Linked DNA regions of Kluyveromyces lactis. The protein of the gene in region 1 interacts with the protein of each later gene in a pairwise test. Links are inferred from orthologs where the notes say so. Each region holds a gene or a part of one and is shown in the gene's direction. Other genes may lie near its edges. The genes, in order: MSH5 and MSH4.

The links.
Region 2: the proteins of MSH5 (region 1) and MSH4 interact in a two-hybrid assay, tested with the Saccharomyces cerevisiae proteins (2 studies listed by BioGRID). The link is inferred for Kluyveromyces lactis from reciprocal best matches to the Saccharomyces cerevisiae genes MSH5 and MSH4.

What each region holds. Positions count from the first base shown.
Region 1 is NC_006039.1:1,436,824-1,441,299, reverse strand, and holds MSH5 (MutS family protein MSH5), read left to right. Parts: upstream 1-1,494; coding exon 1,495-4,299; downstream 4,300-4,476. Other genes in the region: KLLA0_C16445g (cyclin family protein), read left to right, coding at 1-1,325; rRNA-processing protein SAS10, read right to left, coding at 4,397-4,476. UniProt on the Saccharomyces cerevisiae protein: Involved in meiotic recombination. Facilitate crossovers between homologs during meiosis.
Region 2 is NC_006042.1:1,015,956-1,020,525, reverse strand, and holds MSH4 (MutS family protein MSH4), read left to right. Parts: upstream 1-1,645; coding exon 1,646-4,312; downstream 4,313-4,570. Other genes in the region: histone deacetylase HST2, read left to right, coding at 639-1,649; SUMO protease ULP1, read right to left, coding at 4,367-4,570. UniProt on the Saccharomyces cerevisiae protein: Involved in meiotic recombination. Facilitate crossovers between homologs during meiosis.

The sequences.
Region 1 (4,476 bases):
TGCAGCAAAGGGTAGCACTTGGTGATGTTACTTCACAGATTAACAATAGGGCCAATCGGTTTAGTGTTGACGGTGACAGCAAGAAAGCGTTTGTTGATGCTGGATTCTTGAAGGAGAAAAGGGTAAAGAATGCGAAGGAGAATGATTTGTTTAGTGGTCATGACGATGATTTAGTAGTAGCACGGGCTCAAAAACTACGAGAACAGACTCTTGTTTCTTCTGTGAGTACTGAGAGTATACGGTCGCAACAATTGTCTAGCAATAGTAACGAAACAGTACAACACCATTTGATTGAGGTTGAAGCAGATGATGAGGATGATGCGGAGACTGATAGTGAGGCACTAGCTTTTAAAGAAGATGAAGAAGCAGAAACAGGCGGAGATATAAGTGAGGAAATGGAAGACGTAGATGAAAGTTTTACGCCGTTAGTGCCGGTGGTAACGGAACATTCAGAGAGGTTATATCAATATGTGTATGAGAGGTTACACCGTGAGGAGCCTGACCCTAACGATGAGGACACATGGGACCCTGTTATGGTATCGGAATATACCATTGAAATTTTTGAACATTTGAAGTTTTTGGAGAGGAAATTTTCGCCGAATCCCAGGTATATCGAACATCAACCGGAACTAACGTGGAAATACAGATCAACGTTGATCGATTGGATTGTTCAAGTCCACGATAGGTTCCAGTTGTTACCTGAGACGTTATTTTTAACGGTAAACATTATCGATAGGTTTTTATCAAAGAAACAAGTCACTTTGAACAGGTTGCAATTAGTCGGTGCAGCAGCTCTATTCATTGCTTCCAAATACGAGGAGATCAACTGTCCAACTTTGAAAGATATGCTGTATATGCTGGACAATGCATACACTAGAGAAGAGATTCTAAGGGCAGAAAGATTCATGATCAATACGTTAAATTTCGAATTTGGATGGCCAGGTCCAATGTCATTTTTAAGAAGAGTTAGTAAAGCGGATGATTATGAATACGATACAAGAACCGTGGCTAAATATTTATTGGAAACTTCCATAATGGAGCCAGAAATAATAGCAGCGCCACCATCTTGGCTTGCTGCAGGTGCATATTACTTGAGTAAAATCATTATCGGACTCACAGGTTGGTCTGACGAACACATATATTATTCCGGTTACACAGAAGAGCAATTAATACCGTTGGCAACAATGATTTTGGATTCATGCAGACATGCAACAGAACGTCACAAAGCAATATTCGATAAGTACTCGAGGAGTCGCCATAGGAAATCTGCTTTTGTAGTAGCGAAGTGGATTTCAATGGCCGAGAGTCGGTTGGAACAGAAATAAATTCGACAAAAAGAGAGCGGCTAATCATTACTCATACGCCTTCCCGACACATCTAGATAGTACTTAACTCAAAGAAAGCAAAGAAAAAGTGTCAATTCACTTCTTTATCTAATGTTATATTTCGTTTAAATTTCATTTCCAGCACAAATTTACTTTAAAAGTGAAAAGAATGAGATTATTCAGTTTTACTTTCAAAACTAAACTGCACTGTTTATTGACAGAGCGAAGAAAACGAAGGGAAGAAACGGTACAGGCAATTATTCAAGACCAATCACCATCAACAATGCCAGTCACGGCTAAACGTCCGTTATTTATTGATCGGTCGGTCGATTCTGAACTAATTCCAGGTATTGGGAATATACAGGATAGCAATGCTACCGAAATACCCGCCGAAGGTGAAAACAGAAATGTATTGGAAAAATATGCAGATGAAACCATGCATGAGCAAAGCATTAATTGGGAAAATGAAGTAGTATTCTGCTTGGAACTACAGCAGTCCAAGCTTGGAATATCTCTATTGGACATAAATCAAGAGACTTTATCGGTTCTAAATCAGGACATTATTGTTAATGCCAGAAGTTCAGAAAATATGAATGAAGTGAACTTGATTCTAGAAAATTTGATACTTGAAAATGAACCTAGCGTAGTGTTGTGTTCAAGCAGGTTAGGGGAAGTGATTTATGAAAACCTCAAATTTTTGTCAATCGAGCGCAGTTTTAGATTGCAGATGCAGTCCCATGACAAATTTAAAGTAGAATATTTTGTTCAACATTGGAACAACTTTCAAGAGTCCCAACAATTGATAGATATTCAAGGATTTCAGATCTTGGACCAATTGGGTACAAACAAAGCCGCTAAAGTGACAACCATGTCATTGAGCTGCTTGATAAAATCTATGGATCATTTCTCCGCCGTTGATTTTGACGAATGTGAGATGTTTAATTTTTTCGAAAAGGTCAATATAGTGAGACAATTAATGTTGAAGGATCGGCTCTTTCTTGATGATGATACTCTGGCGGCTTTACATATTTTTAAACCCATCCAGATACCAGGACATTTTTGTGAAATAACAAAAACCGGCTATTCATCTGTGTTTGATTTGCTCAATCACACTACTTCAGAACTTGGTAAAAGATTGCTAAAATCCTGGTTAGCCAGTCCACTATCTAATAAAATATTAATAGAAGAGAGACAAAAGGTGATACGATCTCTAATTGACGGCAAGAATGCGATATTATTCGACGATCTTTCAAATTCTCTAAAGTACATGCCTAATATATTCAGCATTGTAAATGAAATGAGCAAAGGCGCAGTAAAACTCTCAGTGTGGAGAAAATATATTTCTTTCTGTACCAAAACTGTCGAGATCATAAACTTAATCCATATTCTCTACGATTCTTCAGATAATTGCCGGTTATTTAACACCATAAAAAATGACCTTGATAAAAGCATGATGTTGAAGATATTAAAGAAAACCGAAAGTGTTCTTGATTTGGAGGGGTCCCTTAACCAAGATGCGATTGTTATAAAGGATAAAGTTCGTATAGAACTAGATGAGGCAAGAGGAACTTACTTCGAGCTTGAAGGTGTTTTAAATCTTGTGGCAAATGAGGCAAACAATACACTAATATCAACATTGCAGAGTAATGAGGAGAAGCTTTTTAAAAAATTGAACGGACGAAATGCTTTGATAAATGCGATATATCTACCACAACTTGGTTATTTACTATGTGTTGATGCATCCATAGAAGATATGTTCGATCCAGCTGTGCTATACTGGACTGAAATTTTCAGAGAACAGAATGTAATATATTACAAGAATGATGATACGAAAGTTATGGACGAACACTATGGTGACCTTCATGGAATAATATCCGATTTAGAGTTGGAGATCCTACTTGAACTACAAAATGCAGTCTTGAATACAAAGCCAGCAATTTTGCTGTCAGGAAAATGTTTCGCAGAGCTCGAGGTTTTAGTCTCATTTGCTAAGACCGCCATTAGCCAAAATTATGTCCAGCCTGTCATTGAGGAAAAGGAATGTGTAATTGAAATTGAAAACGGCCGGCACCCCTTATATGAAACACTTGTAGACACATACATCCCCAATGACCTTCGCATGCTTGGCGGAACTTTTGATAATGATACTTGGAATAATAATTTCAAAAGAATTTCTGTCATTACTGGCGCTAATGCGTCTGGTAAATCTGTTTTTTTAACGCAGAACGGACTTATAGTGTTTCTTGCTCATATTGGTTGTTTCGTTCCTGCTGATAATGCACGTATTGGTCTCGTGGACAAAATATTGACCAGAGTAGTGACTCGGGAATCTGTAGCAAAGACGCAGAGTACATTTGAGATTGATGCAAATCAAATGTCCAAGTGTTTGTCATTGGCAACGCCGAGAAGCTTACTTTTGATTGATGAGTTTGGTAAAGGGACAGATGTGATTGACGGCCTATCTATGTTCGGAGCAATTATAAAGGACTTTTCAAGGAGCTCGTCTTGCCCTAGAGTGATCGCATCTACTCATTATAACGAAGTTTTCAGTCCAAACATCCTTACTAGTGAAATTAATGGTGTAGTATTCTATAAAACCGAGATTTTATTGCAGGTGATGGAAAAGGAAAATAAAGGAAATGCCAGAGATGAAATGATTACCTTTTTGTACAAATTGAGCACCGGAATTGCCACGAACTCTTTTGGTATATTCTGTGCCAAAAACTGTGGCTTAAGGCAGAGCATTGTCCAAAGAGCACAAGAACTTACAACTCAGATAGCAGATGGATTTGACATTGCTAAGAACTACAGCAAACTAACTATCGAAGAATTGAACCAATTTAGAATTGACCAGGATATTGCGAAAGAGTTTGTAGCATGGGATCTTGATCTTGAGTCCATCCATTCTGACAAGATACAGCATGCAATACGGAGAAAACTACAAAGAATATTGGATGCTGGACAAAGCTGCTAATTCGTGAGTACTCAGAAAGCAAAATATTACACGAATGAATAATGCGAGTTTTTTTTTAATGCATGGAGTATATAGATACACTAAATATCATCTAGTACTAATTTTTAAATTTCACAGACTTCGTTAGATTCTTCTTAATACCAGTCTTTTCACCTTCATACGCACCAGATTGACCAC
Region 2 (4,570 bases), on another chromosome or scaffold:
ATTCTTGGGTTGAGAATGCTATCGGGGCGAAAGAGGAAAAAATGCCCACCAAAAGACCGCAAGTTCGTGAGAATAGATAGAGATGGCTGTATTAAGAGAGGCAGCCATTCAAGTGTTAAATAGAAGGTATTAGTAATGTGTGTATTGTTTTGTTGTGGTTGCATTGAAACAGCCTAAGAAGAATGTGGCCTGCTTGCAACAGGATGGCATGAAAGTGGAATTATGAGTAATACCATGGTGAAGCCGGTTGTTACCCGAGTATGGTTGGACAGGAAATCGGAAACACCAGAAACGTGACTCCGTGGCCAAGCTGGTTAAGGCGTGCGACTGTTAATCGCAAGATCGAGAGTTCAATCCTCTCCGGGGTCGTTTTCTTTTTTGATTTTTTTTTCACTCTGCTCCACCATGAAAAGGAAGGTAAGTTAATTATATTCTTTATCCATACTATATACCGGATATTCATCTATTAATCAGCTTCATAAGGTGAACCTCCCACATATCGTCGTATATCTGGTCATACAAACCTACTAGGGTATACTACCTCAGTAATTACTACTTGAACCTCTTTTTTAGTGTTTTTTTTGGTTCGATTTTTATAGATCCAGCTTTCGTTTCGCGGTGCCATATTGCCCATCCCTATGTCTGCTGAAATACCGAAGGCTATTAAAAAGTTAGCCAAATACCTCCAGGATAATCCTGATGTGAAAGTTATATTCATGGTTGGGGCTGGAATATCAACTTCTAGTGGAATTCCCGATTTCAGATCTCCAGAAACAGGGCTTTACCATAACTTATCAAAACTGAATCTTCCTTATGCTGAAGCTGTATTCGATATAGAATACTTCGAACAGAATCCCAAACCGTTTTATACTCTTGCAAAGGAGTTGTATCCTGGTAATTTCAAGCCGTCTCCGTTCCATTATTTGATGAAACTATTCGAGAGCAAAAACCGGTTAAAAAGAATATATACCCAGAATATAGATACTTTGGAAAGAGAAGCAAATATCAGCGATGAATTCATTATAGAAGCACACGGATCATTTGCGTCAAACCATTGCATTGACTGTGGTAAAGAATTCCCAAAGGAAGCTTTTCAAAATAAATTACTATTAAACGAACAAGAAACCGATGAGGACGGCGGAAATTATGCTACTTGTGATGGATGTGGCGGGTTGATTAAACCGAAGATTGTATTCTTCGGTGAAGGGTTACCTACCGAGTTCTTCGATACGTGGGATTTGGATAGCTCTACGAAGGAAAAAACAGTTTGTATTGTCTGTGGTACGTCCTTAACTGTGTACCCGTTTGCATCGTTACCCATGGAGGCACCGAATTCGTGGCTTAGGGTGCTACTGAACCGTGAGATAGTTGGTGATTTCAAGACCTCACGCCAAGATACTGATCTGATATTCAAGGGCTCTGCAGATTATGCAGCCTTTTTGCTTGCCCAAGAGTTGTGCTGGCTCGAAGATTTGGAAAACCTCAGCGGCAAACAATTTAAGCCGGAATCGAAAACGAAAACAAAGGTTCATATAAATAAACCTGAACCTGAACAACAGGAGAAGATCAACACGAAAGAGGAAGAGGTATTGAAAGAGGTCACGGAGGAAATAGCACTTGAGCTAAATAATCTAACCATTAAAGAATGAACAACACAGCGACAACATCTGGTAATGTTACATCTTTCGCAAAGTGGGCTTTTGAATCGTCTTCGGTCGAAGGCACTTCTTCCGTCGGAACCACTACATCGGATAATCAATCTCAAAATAATTCAAGGGTTAGCAGGCACTCAACATCTAAGAAACGTAAAGTCGATAGGCAGCCAACTATTTTTGAATTATCAAATCATCAGCAGGAAAGGGATTGTTCTTTGCCAATCAGAAAATCAATGCAAACTAGGCAATCCAAATCTGAGTCAAGGTATACGTCAAGAAATAAAAAGATTACTACAACTACCTCTGGACTTGTTGTAGGGCCTGACAGGACAATATTTAGCATATTCGAGTCTGGGAAAAATGCAGATACACGAGTTGGAATTTGCGTGGTAAATTATTCAACTGCGGAAATGCACGTTTCAGAATTCATTGATACTCAAGTCTTTATTAAAACTTTAAACAAAATATACGTCTGTCAACCCACTGAAATCCTCATTCCATCGCATTCATTGTCGGGAAAAGTTTCAAAGTTGTCGACTATAGTCAAATGCAATATTTCCGACAATGTAAAGATATGCGAGGCGGCCACGAAAGTTTACAATCCTCAAGAGGGATTAGAAGTTCTTGAAAAGTTCGCCTTACTTGGTACAAACAAGTCTCCTGTACCTTTCGCGGAACAATTAATCGGTAAAGAGTTTTGTCTTATGGCAGTATCTGCGGCTAGCAACTACATGACACAAATAGCTGAAGCTGATTTAGCTTTAAAGTTTAGCAACTTCAGAGTTAGAATTGATAATGGTGACAATACCATGTTGATTGATATGAAAACAGTTCAATCTTTAGAATTAATAGAAAACACTCTAGAATCAAATGGAATGACACTATTAAAAGTAATTGACAAAACAGTGACTAAAATGGGACATAGAGCGCTTAGGAATGATATACTTCAACCTTTAACTGATATTAATTCGTTAAAGCTTAGAGTTTCTGCTGTACAGGAACTACAGAACAACCCAGATTTTTTAAATTCCTTTAGGATGGAGCTAAAAGTTCTTCATGACCTGGATGCTCTTTTCTCTAAACTTCTCTCGTTCAATCACACCGTCATTCTTCCTGATCAAAAGCTCAATTATGTCATATTGTTGAAAGAATCCATTGAGAGTGCAACAACGCTTAAGAGACTTTTCGAAGAAAGCAAATTTGAAAGCAAATTGTTGTCAGAAATCATGGCAATATTTAGTTCAGATGATATTAGCAGCATCTTTGATTTGATCAATCGATATCTCAATGAAGATACACGTTGGGCTTCTACACCTATCGATCTACAAAACCAGAAAGCGTACGCTATTAAGAGAGGTTCAAACGGTCTTCTTGACGTGCTCAGGCAATTGTATAAATCTTTAACAGATGATATTATGAGAGAAGTGGACTCCCTCAGAGATAAATTTGGATTGAATTTCAGCCATGGACATGATGTTAATCGGCAGTTTTACTTGAAACTAAAAAAGAAAGACATTAACCAGCTCTCTGATTTAGACTCCTGCTTTATCAATCGTGTTACGAAGAAAACTGCGTATGAATTTACCACATTGAACTTAATGAAAATGAATACAAGGCTCTCTGAGCTTACTTGTGAGATGATAGCTTTGAGTGAACAAACCGTGAGTGAACTTTTATCCAATATTTCTTCTCATATCGCAACACTTTTTATGATATCTGAGGCTATATCAGTTCTAGACCTTTTGTGTTCTCTTGCAACAACGGGTTTAGAGAATAACTGGATTTTAGCATCGTTTGGTAATCATTTATCACTTAGTGGAGCTCGCCATCCAATTTTAGAAAATACACTAACCAACTTTGTAGCGAATGATGTAGAGGCAATACCCAATCTCTCTTCGTTTCAGATAGTAACAGGTTGTAACATGAGCGGAAAATCAATATACTTGAAACAAGTTGCTATGCTTACAATTTTGGCGCAGATAGGATGCCCTGTGCCCTGTACTTCTGCATCTTTCCCCCTATATCAGAAGCTTCATGCCCGTGTCTGTAATGATGACATAGAGGCGTATTCATCCACTTTCTCAGCAGAAATGAAAGACATGGCATATTTCATTGATGATATAACAGATAAGACTCTTATGATCCTAGATGAATTAGGACGTGGCTCAAGCATCGCAGATGGGTTCTCTATAGCTTTGGCTATATCGGAATATCTCCTTTCCAAAAATGCTACTGTATTTCTATCGACACATTTCAGAGATATTCCTAAAATATTGGCACCAAAGCCTCGTGTTTTACATCTTGAGATGAAAACTGAGATTGATCAGGAATCACATCTCAAAATGAAATATAAAGCCTCCACAGAATCAGAAGAGATAGAAGGATACGGTATGATGATTTGTAAACGAATTTTCAGTGAAAGAATTATGTTGGAAGCATACAAAATATCGGAATTACTTCGAGCTAGCAAAAGAAAAGGTTTGAAAATCATTGCAAAGGAAGATTCTTGTGATAATGCATGTCAAACTACCCAAATCAAACAGGTTTATTATTTAGTACAAAAACTCAAAGCGTTTTGTAATCATGAAAAAACAATTGACATTGAAGAGTTGCGAAGTCTACAAGATGATTTCATTTCAACGTTTGAAATAGTCTGAAACAAGTGGTAAGAATAGCAAATTTTAGTATTCGTCAACGAAAAGAGTTTAATTCTATTTACTTAATATTAAATGACCTATGTAATTTCTCATGTTTGCTGCATCTTTAGAATCAAAGCTCAAAGTGTAATCCTTGCTCATATAAAGTGTATTCAGACAAACATATATGCCGCAGTCAAATCCGTTTGGCTGCTGTGGACAAGCAATATGGCAAAGTTCGAAATCCTCACCAAGCTTTTGTTTGCTTTCTTCCATCAC